Linked DNA regions of Saccharomyces cerevisiae S288C. The protein of the gene in region 2 purifies or fractionates together with the protein of the main gene of each other region. This does not show direct contact. Each region holds a gene or a part of one and is shown on either strand. Other genes may lie near its edges.

Evidence for each region.
Region 1: the proteins of ALY2 (region 2) and APL1 purify together in Saccharomyces cerevisiae (affinity purification with western blotting; 2 studies listed by BioGRID, with this or other methods). This does not show direct contact.

What each region holds. Positions count from the first base shown.
Region 1 is NC_001142.9:444,178-448,841, reverse strand, and holds APL1 (Apl1p), read right to left. Parts: upstream 2,920-4,664; coding exon 817-2,919; downstream 1-816. Other genes in the region: LSO1 (Lso1p), read left to right, coding at 84-365; SAG1 (Sag1p), read left to right, coding at 3,981-4,664. UniProt on the Saccharomyces cerevisiae protein: Adaptins are components of the adaptor complexes which link clathrin to receptors in coated vesicles. Clathrin-associated protein complexes are believed to interact with the cytoplasmic tails of membrane proteins, leading to their selection and concentration.
Region 2 is NC_001142.9:274,362-280,026, forward strand, and holds ALY2 (Aly2p), read right to left. Parts: upstream 3,642-5,665; coding exon 501-3,641; downstream 1-500. Other genes in the region: GTP-Rho binding exocyst subunit EXO70, read left to right, coding at 1-337; TAX4 (Tax4p), read left to right, coding at 4,480-5,665. UniProt on the Saccharomyces cerevisiae protein: May regulate endocytosis by recruiting RSP5 ubiquitin ligase activity to specific plasma membrane proteins in response to extracellular stimuli.

The DNA.
Region 1 (4,664 bases), 170 kb from region 2:
AGTCGTATTATTAACCGCCTTTTGGAAGTTTGCTAACCGCATAGTTGTCATTAGAAACCACCAAACATAGTGAAGAAGCGAACATGCATAATACTGGCAAGAGATACTCAGAAACTGCCAAAAAAGTGGCAGCAGGAAGAGCAAGAAAACGTAGGCAAGCTTACGAAAAGGACCAACTAGAGAAACAACAACTAGAAGCTCAAGAAGCTCAGAGGTGGGAAGAAGGTGCGAGAACCCCTAACCAGAAGAAGCTGATTATGGAACAAAAAAAGACAGAGAAGCTAAGAGCCAAAAAGGAAAGAGACCAATTACTAGCCGCCGAAGAGGAAGCTTTAGGTAAGGGAGGCAGGGGAAAAAGATACTGAAATGACGGAAAACGAGAATATGGAGCAGAGAGCAACTTTTAGAGCTTTACCCGTTAAAAGGTCAAATCGAGGCTTCCTGCCTTTGTCTGATTTTAGTAGTACCGGAAGGTTTATTACGCCCAAGAACAGTGCTTGAATTGAGTTCTCGGGACACGGGAAAGACAATGGAAGAAAAATTTACATTCAGTAGCCTTATATATGAAATGCTGCCAAGCCACGTCTTTATAAGTAGATAATGTCCCATGAGCTGAACTATGGGAATTTATGACGCAGTTCATTGTATATATATTACATTAACTCTTTAGTTTAACATCTGAATTGTTTTATAAAATAACTTTTTGAATTTTTTTATGATCGCTTAGTTAAGTCTATTATATCAGGTTTTTTCATTCATCATAATTGTTCGTTAAATATGAGTATATTTAAATACAGGAATTAGTATCATTTGCAGTCACGAAAAGGGCCGTTTCATAGAGAGTTTTCTTAATAAAGTTGAGGGTTTCCGTGATAGTTTTGAGGGGTTGTTTGAACTAGATTTACGCTTACCTTTCAACTGATTAATTTTTTCAGCGGGCTTATCATAATCATCCATCATAGCAGTCTTTCTGGACTTCGTCGAGGACTGGCTTTCTGAATTTTGACGGTCCCTATTAGCTCCAGTTGGAGGAAATGAGTTACCTACAACTGGCAAGAGGTCTTTGTTTGGATTCAAAATAGGACTTTGTGGTAGCAGTTTGGTTTTATTCAATCTAAAGATATGAGAAACAGGTTTTAAGTAAATCGATACTATTGTACCAATGTTTAGCTCCAATTCCTCCAAAACGGTGGGATCTAATTTCGTGTTCATTTCTATTAGTGGCAACTCTCCGTCCAGTACTGATTTTAAAGATTCAAAAGTTATCGCGTTTGATATACGAGACGTTTTCGTTAATGACAGCAATCTCCAATACATCAGTGTTTTATCTCTTAAGTCAGGATTATTTTCGTGATCGATGCATCCTTTTAATAAATCCATACAAAGTTCTTCAGTTTCCTTTGTAGGACTTCTGATGAAGAATTTTATTGCTGAGTTCAGAATGGAAAATTGCACTTCTAGCGTCTCACTAAACATGTTTGAGGAAAAAACTCTAAATAACTCCAGGTAGTTTGGAATTACATCCGAATATTGCGTTATTATCCAGATCATAGCGTTTTTTGATTCAGGTTCCTGTACAACTTCAGTGTGTTTGACTAGTTCTGTTACGTTTGCTTTAAAATTATTGGGATATTTCCTCAAAATATTTCTGAAAACCGAAATAATCTCCTGGACGACATAATCAACACCGAATTCTAACAAATCTAGTAGAACAGCGACACAATCGTGTACAGAGTCTTCATCTAGCTTAACAGCCAGATTACCAATGGCTCTGACTGATTTCCTTGACATTTGAATATCAATATCTGTAGCATATTGTTCCAACTCTTCTAGAATTCTTGGTAATGTTTCCTTGTTAGCTAAAAGATATAAACACTCTAATTTCGTGTCTTTGATGTATATGGGGTCATTGTACTCGATGAAAAAATACGAAATGTCTAGCCTGAGTAGAGATGACTCCCTACTCAATAAAAGAAGAATAACGTTTCTTAATACTAAAAATTGTAATTCAGGCGGCTTATCTAACAAAGCTATTACAGAGTTAGATAGCTTTTCGGCTAGAGTTTCTTTGATGACGTCAACATAATTCAACAAGTACATGATGAATTTTAAAGAGTTCAACACTACGTATGTGTTTACTTGTTGCAGGTACGGTAAAGCTAGTTCGATCATTTCATGGGTATCCAAATAATGCTGCGGCACAACCGAAGTCGTCAAAACTTCCAAAACAGTAGCCTTATTCCACTCATTTAATTCGGGTAAAAGCTCTAGCATGTCAAAAGCGAGTTCCAAGGGAATCCTGAAGGGTTCCATGTTAGCGTTTTTTTCGTGAATGGAATATAAAGTATGTAATGCAGCTACAATGACTTCTGGAGAGCTCGACTGTGCTTTTACAATGTCATGTAGAATGCTTGATAACCCCAATACCCTTTCATGATCAATTTCATCTAAATCCAACAGTGCGTAAATTGCTGTCCTCGTCACTTGTTCAGGTGGAGACTTGTGATTTACCAATGAAATGATACAGTCGAAGGCCTGATCAGATAGCTCTTTCACCGGGACTAATACCAGAGTTCTTAGTGCCATTATTTGTAACTTTTCATCTCTGCTTTTGAAATCGTCCATTATAAATGGCAAAGCCTCTCTGGCCTGCTGAGGTTTTAATGCGCCGATCACCCTAATATACTCATGGCAAATTCTTTTCACTTCTAGATCATCTTCAATTTGCCAAAATTTCAAGAGCTCAGAAAACAGAACGGACATTTCGCCATAGTTTCCTAGAACCAAATTGGCGATAATTTTTCTCAGAGCATTTTTCCTTCTTGTTATATTCGATTTAAACTTTTTTACTCCAAAATGTTGCAGATCTGTGACGATTTCATTTGCTTTATATCTGGCAAAAACTTTTTGATCGGACATAAGCGAAATACGTCCTATTAATGAAGTGAATGTTCTTGCTGTATTCCCTTCTTGTGCAGTAGATTAATTCTGTTTCCAGGCTGCGATACTTTGATACCCAATACTAAAAGTTGATGATTTGAACGATCTCCTATTTCCTCGCACATTTTTGGAGCGATACCCGGAAGACAGAATCGCGATGTTAAGAAAATAGTTCTGATGGCACTAAAGAGATCATGATTAAGGAAAGGTAAGTGATATGCATGAATGGGAATAGGCTTTCGAACTTGACGATTTAGTTCCTTATTTCTATCCATCTAATCCTCCAACTTCAATAGGCCTTATCTAGCTCAGAGCAGTATTTAATTGAGAATAGTAGCTTAATTGAAACCTTACTAAAAAAGTGTATGGTTACATAAGATAAGGCGTTAAGAAGAGTATACATATGCATTATTCATTACCAAGACCACTATGAATAGTAATACCATATTTAGCTTTTGAAACTCATGTTTTCTATTGTGTTGTTTCAAATTCCTCTGTTAGGCTCAATTTAGGTTAATTAAATTATAAAAAAATATAAAAAATAAAGAAAGTTTATCCATCGTCACCTCAATTCAATGGAGTAAACAGTTTCAACACTGAGTGGTGAAACATTGAACAACTACATGCAGTTTCCCGCCACGAGGCAAGTGTAGGTCCTTTGTCCATTTCGCTTTGTTTTGCAGGTCATTGATGACCTAATTAGGAAGGTAGAAGCCGCTCCAGCTCGATAAGGAAATGCTAAGGGTACTCGCCTTTGGTGTTTTACCATACAATGGCAGCTTTATGTCACTTCATTCTTCAGTAACGGCGCTTAAATATTCCCAAAAACGTTACAATGGAATTGTTTGATCATGTAACGAAATGCAATCTTCTAAAAAAAAAGCCATGTGAATCAAAAAAAGATTCCTTTTAGCATACTATAAATATGCGAAATGCCCTCTATTTATTCTAGTAATCGTCCATTCTCATATCTTCCTTATATCAGTCGCCTCGCTTAATATAGTCAGCACAAAAGGAACAACAATTCGCCAGTTTTCAAAATGTTCACTTTTCTCAAAATTATTCTGTGGCTTTTTTCCTTGGCATTGGCCTCTGCTATAAATATCAACGATATCACATTTTCCAATTTAGAAATTACTCCACTGACTGCAAATAAACAACCTGATCAAGGTTGGACTGCCACTTTTGATTTTAGTATTGCAGATGCGTCTTCCATTAGGGAGGGCGATGAATTCACATTATCAATGCCACATGTTTATAGGATTAAGCTATTAAACTCATCGCAAACAGCTACTATTTCCTTAGCGGATGGTACTGAGGCTTTCAAATGCTATGTTTCGCAACAGGCTGCATACTTGTATGAAAATACTACTTTCACATGTACTGCTCAAAATGACCTGTCCTCCTATAATACGATTGATGGATCCATAACATTTTCGCTAAATTTTAGTGATGGTGGTTCCAGCTATGAATATGAGTTAGAAAACGCTAAGTTTTTCAAATCTGGGCCAATGCTTGTTAAACTTGGTAATCAAATGTCAGATGTGGTGAATTTCGATCCTGCTGCTTTTACAGAGAATGTTTTTCACTCTGGGCGTTCAACTGGTTACGGTTCTTTTGAAAGTTATCATTTGGGTATGTATTGTCCAAACGGATATTTCCTGGGTGGTACTGAGAAGATTGATTACGACAGTTCCAATAACAATGTCGATTTGGATTGTTCT
Region 2 (5,665 bases):
TAGTTATATGGTATCAGATTGGAGAGATTTAACTGCAAATTTGATGGATTCTGTGTTTATTGATAGTAGCGGGAAGAAGTCAAAAGACAAAGAACAAATAAAGGAGAAATTTAGAAAATTCAATGAAGGATTCGAAGATTTAGTATCAAAAACAAAACAGTATAAGCTTTCAGATCCATCATTGAAAGTAACTTTGAAGTCAGAAATAATATCGTTGGTTATGCCCATGTATGAAAGATTCTACAGTAGATATAAAGACTCTTTCAAGAATCCTAGAAAGCATATCAAATATACCCCTGACGAACTAACTACTGTTCTTAACCAATTAGTGAGATAGATTGCGAACATCACTTTTCAAAAAGCAAAATTAAAGAAAAGAACGTACCATAAACAGATATAAACATATATATGTATAACAATTAGAGTTTCTAATATTTTATGTTTGCTCTGGACGCCAGATGTAAGAACAGGAAGGGATGACGTAGGAACCTTGTGCTAGACTAAAGGGTACTCTCATTTATACTTTGTAATCCAGATTCATTATCTAACGTATTAATCAGTACTTTCTCGGGTGAAGAAAGTCTTGAAATAAATCTTTCCTCGGAATCAGAATTCTTAGAGCTTTCCGTTAATCCTGAGCCCTGTGTGAAAATGTCATTATTATGATCTGATTCGGCAGAATTTTGTGCATTAGCTGCATTCAAGAAATTCTCGTTACTTCCCAAAAGTGGAGAAAACTGATTGTTATCGTTATCGTTTTGTAAAGGATGCCAAGCAGAGGAATTTCTAGCGTACGGCGCAGTGATATCAATCGTAGTATCTACTGAGGGTTCAAGTAGATCAACGTATGAATCATTAGGCCTTAAAAAGGAGTCTTCATTAACTTTATTAGTCAACGTTTCCGTTTTACTCAGTAATGGTTCCATGTTCAACTTGTCCTTGCTTATATTAATTCCTGAATAGTCAAAAGAGGATCTAGCTGAGGCGGGGGTGCTCGAAGTATTTGTAGAATGTCGATTTAGTTCATTTTTATCATGATTTTTAAGTTCGTCTTCTATTAAAACTTGATTTAAATCTGTGAAAAAAGGATTATCGTGTCTTATTGTGGACGGTAAATTATCTTGAACACTTTCCCTTCTATTCAATGATCTTAATGATTCATTGCTCAGATTTCCTAAAGCTGAATGCGCAAATCCGCTATTATTTGGTGAGCTATGTAATGAAGACGATAGGCTTAATACTCTTTTTCTGTTCTTTTCGTTACTTTGATTCCCAGTGGATGTCGAGTCTTTGCTTTCCTCGCGTTGTGGGGTTGATAAACTTTTCACGTCCCTATTTTCTCTCTTTTTAGGAGTTGTCTCTCTTTTGTGTTTATTTTCTTCTATCTTTGACATCGATTCTTTTTTATTCAAAGTTTCTGAAGAATTCTTATCCGAATTTTTATTTGGATGGGAAGCTTTTAAACTTGGAGGCGTCGGATGTTTGGAATTAGGCCTCCTTTTTTGATTGTTGTCATGCAACACAGTATCCTTATAAGATGGTGGATCCCGTGGTAAGATGCTCGACTCTGATGAAGATACCTCAGTAGTAGTGGTTCCGGAAGCAGCATCAGATATGAAATCGGAAGAAAAGTCAAAATCTGGCGGAGGCACTTCCATATTTGACATTGGCGATGTTATTGGAGAGAGCGGGATTGCCTGGGGTGATGCTAATTCTCTTTGCAAACTCTCCGGTTGATATATGTTGGATTTCAACTTTGCAGAATTGAAGATGGTATTATCACTCGGATGGGATTTTGAGTTCCTATTGAATTGCCTAGAGTTTCTGGTCAATGAAGTGGAAGGTAAATGTGGGATTAAAATGTCTAATGGTTGGACATTGGGCGAAAGTACTGGAGACGAAAGGACTTCCTTGGGAAAGAAAATATTAGAGTTATGGTATAGATTTATATTGTCATCAGACGATTCCAATATTGAGGAAATTGAGGAATCTGTTTCTTTTGGAAAAGAAGCAGGATGTCCATCATAGCTCGGTAAAAGGGTATTTGCATGCGAGCACAATCTATGTAAAACATGTATTGGCGAGTCAATACTAATTTCGTAATGTTTCCTTTTATTATCTACTACTCTAGACAGTCTCAGGCAAATTTTAATCCAATGGTTTGCTTTGATGTTTTCATAAGAAGTATCTGGATGCAATTGCTGATGGTTGTTGAAACGACTCGGAATAAAAATCTGGTACTCATACTCTTTATTCACTAAATCACCATTCTTTGGATCCTGCAACAGGTTCCCCATATTCTTGGCCTTTGACAAATTTGCATCATTGGGCAAGTTCGGTAATTTAGGACCTTTCTGTTCTGTCAATAAAAATTTCTTGGTGGGCTCCATCCTATGAACCTTCTTTTCTCTACAATAATACTCCATTGTCTCTGTCACATAAATTCTTATTCTATGCAACGTAACTTTATCGAGGGGAGCGAATTTGAACGTGATAGGCAGAAAAGCATCTAAAATAATATCCTTTGATGCTATAACGATATCATAATATAATTGGTTTTCCCAATCTCTAGATATGATAATCGGCTCACTTTCTTCCACAGAATTATGAGCCTGTGTCCGTACGATATTAACCACTTGCCGGGCGCTAATGTTTGATTTAAAGGCACCAGGTCTCTCTATACTGGCAAATAAGAAGTATTCCACAAATCCGAAATCAGCTTTAATAGATTCTGGGTATGCTTGAGGAATTAGTTCTTCGAAAGCATAAATATAGTCGCCTGGTTGAAAGACAAAAAATTCTCCTCCAGACCCGCTGGTGAAGTTGTTGCTTGTCATTGCCAGATGATTGCTACTGGTGGGGATATGATGACCATGATGCGATGCTGCATCATTATGGGTAAAGGTGTTATTCAACAAGTCGGAAAAGATGGAAGTGGTCGTAGGTTTATAGTTGTGGTGAGACACGGAAGGAGACGTGGCTCTCTTCAATAAATTTATCGGGGATAGGTTTCTTGATGGTCCATTGGAAGAAGTGACTGACGAAGATCTAGATCTTTGTCTACTTTCTCTGTCTTTTACGTTGACAGAGGAATTTCCAGGTGCACCTAGAGGTGACAAGTTCAACGAGGACAAACCTGATATAGAATTTTTTCTGCTTGTTATAGTTTCATTATCAGACAGTGTTCTATAAAGAGAGGCACCACTTTCCTTCGTCAAAAAATTATTAGCTGCATTGTTGCTCTCATTAGGTGCGGAAGCATCCATCTTTTTCTTGCTCTTCTGTTCAGTTGGCGGATATAGAGCCCATGTATGGTCTACAATATCTTTGATTTCCACGAATTCTTGTCTTTTAGGAGGGATACCTTCAGGCCATTCAGTTCTAGAATATCCTTTGAACGAAAGACTTATGCTTTTCAGCTTTGTGGGTTTCAGTATTCTTACCACTAGACAGCCCCGAAGAACAACCGAGGGATATTCCGTCTTCTGAGGGTCAAAGCCTTGGAGGAAAACAACTGGTTCAGCTAAATGAATAAAAAGCTGTAATGATGAACTTTGTGCCAAGGGTGTAGCATCGAGGGGGATATCAATATCCTTTTCCATGGGAAACAATGGAGATGAGATAGATTGGTCCATGGGCATCTTGAAAAATGACTGATCTACAATGAGAAAGGCTGGAAAAAAAAAAAAGATGTTTCAACGTTAAAAAAATAAAGGACTAACGGTAATGAATAGCGAAGTCTACAGACTAATTTGCCCTTTTTAGTCTCTCTCAATACTCACAGACTGCTTGTAGCGTAATTAGTACCTATTCTTAAAAGACGAAAAGGAGAACTAGCCAAGTCTTTTTTTTTTCCCAAATTGGACCATATCGGATTAAATTTCTTTTTTCCGAAACTGCAAATCCTCCAGAGAATGTTTTAATAAAGGAAAACCAATGAAAGACATTTAGCAGAATAACAAAGCAAAAAGAAATGACAGTGAAGAGTGATAGGTGAAGGCGTTGAGAAATGAGAGTTGTTGCCATGGAGGAATGGGTACTGAACCCTCTCACAGAGGCGTCACTAATTTAAAAAAGGAAAAAGGTGTTATATGTATTGGGGAAAGGAGCGATGAATTTTTGGGTGATGAATGAAACAGTGGGATGAGATGAACTACAGCAATATGGTTTGGTCTTAACGGCTGTCATGACAAACTATTGATCAGGGCCAGTATTTGTATCATTATTGTTATAATTGAGAATGAAGAAAGGTTAGCCGCTGAGAGAACCTTCTTCAAATTATGTTTTTTTTGCTTTTTTTCTTTTTGGGACGGCGCGCGATAGATGGCGCAAGGGAGTTGCTCTCCGTTCGACATCAATAAATTGGTTATAAAGTGACGTATTTGGTTCCTTTTTAGTAATTGATGAAGAGTGCGGGATGGCCTATACAAGGAAGAGTCGATTTAGTGCCGGAGAATACACGCCCTGACGTTTGTATAAATGCATTTCCCCAAAAAAAAGCATTCCGGAAATCTCTCCGTGGTGGAATTGCCGAAGGAAGCTCTCCAAGATTCTTTAACTGCTGCTCAGATTACTTTCAAGAGATATGCCCACCCCAATGGCAATGCCGGTAGCGCAGAGAGGCCGAGACATCTAAAGGTGGAATCTGCGCCTGTCGTGAAATCTGAGCCTTCTTTGCCGAGGATGAGACAACCGGAACCGAGAAGTATAAATCATCAATACTCTAGGGAAACGCTTCCAGGCCATTCTGAAGCCTTTTCCGTACCGACGACTCCTCTGCAGACAATCCATTATGATGTAAGGAATAAAGCGTCAAATTCGCCAAGTAGTATAGCAGCTGCAGAGACAGCTGCATACCTAGCCCACACAAATTCATTTAGTAACAGATCATCCGGTGTCGGCAGCCGGGATCCAGTTATGGATACTGAAACAAAACCGCCACGTGCTCCTTCAGCCTTGAAAAATGAGCTGCAATTGAACAGAATGAGGATACCTCCGCCGTCATATGATAATAATGTTCGTTCACGATCTATTTCGCCACAAGTATCCTACTCTACCTCGCTGTCATCATCGTGTTCCATAAGTTCCGATGGAGAAGAAACTTCTTATAGAGAAAAAAGCACCGATGAGGCATTTCCTCCTGAACCTTCCATGTCTTCTTATAGTCTTGCGTCCAAAGCCTCAGCAAAGGCTTCTCTAACGGACCCCTCACAGCGGCAGCAAGAGTCAGACTATACGGCAATGAATAAACTCAATGGAGGAAATATAATATATAAAGGCACTTTACCCGACCTAATACCGCGAAGCCAAAGGAAGACAAGTAAACCCAGGTTCAAGCACAGGCTTTTACGATCACCTGAGCAGCAGCAAGAAAACTTATCACGTGTGTATTCGGACCAAACGCAGAATGGTAGGGCAATCATAAACACGCAGCAAAATGTAAAGTTAAAGACAACTATGAGGCGCGGGAAGTACGCAATTACAGACAATGATGAAACTTTTCCCTACGACAGAAAGTCTGTATCATCAGACTCAGACACAGATGAAGATTCTAATGTGATGGAAATCAAGGACAAGAAGAAGAAAAGTCGTCGCTCTAAGATAAAGAAGGGGTTGAAAACAACAGCAGCTGTAGTTGGGAGTAGTACCTCTGTCCTTCCGTTCC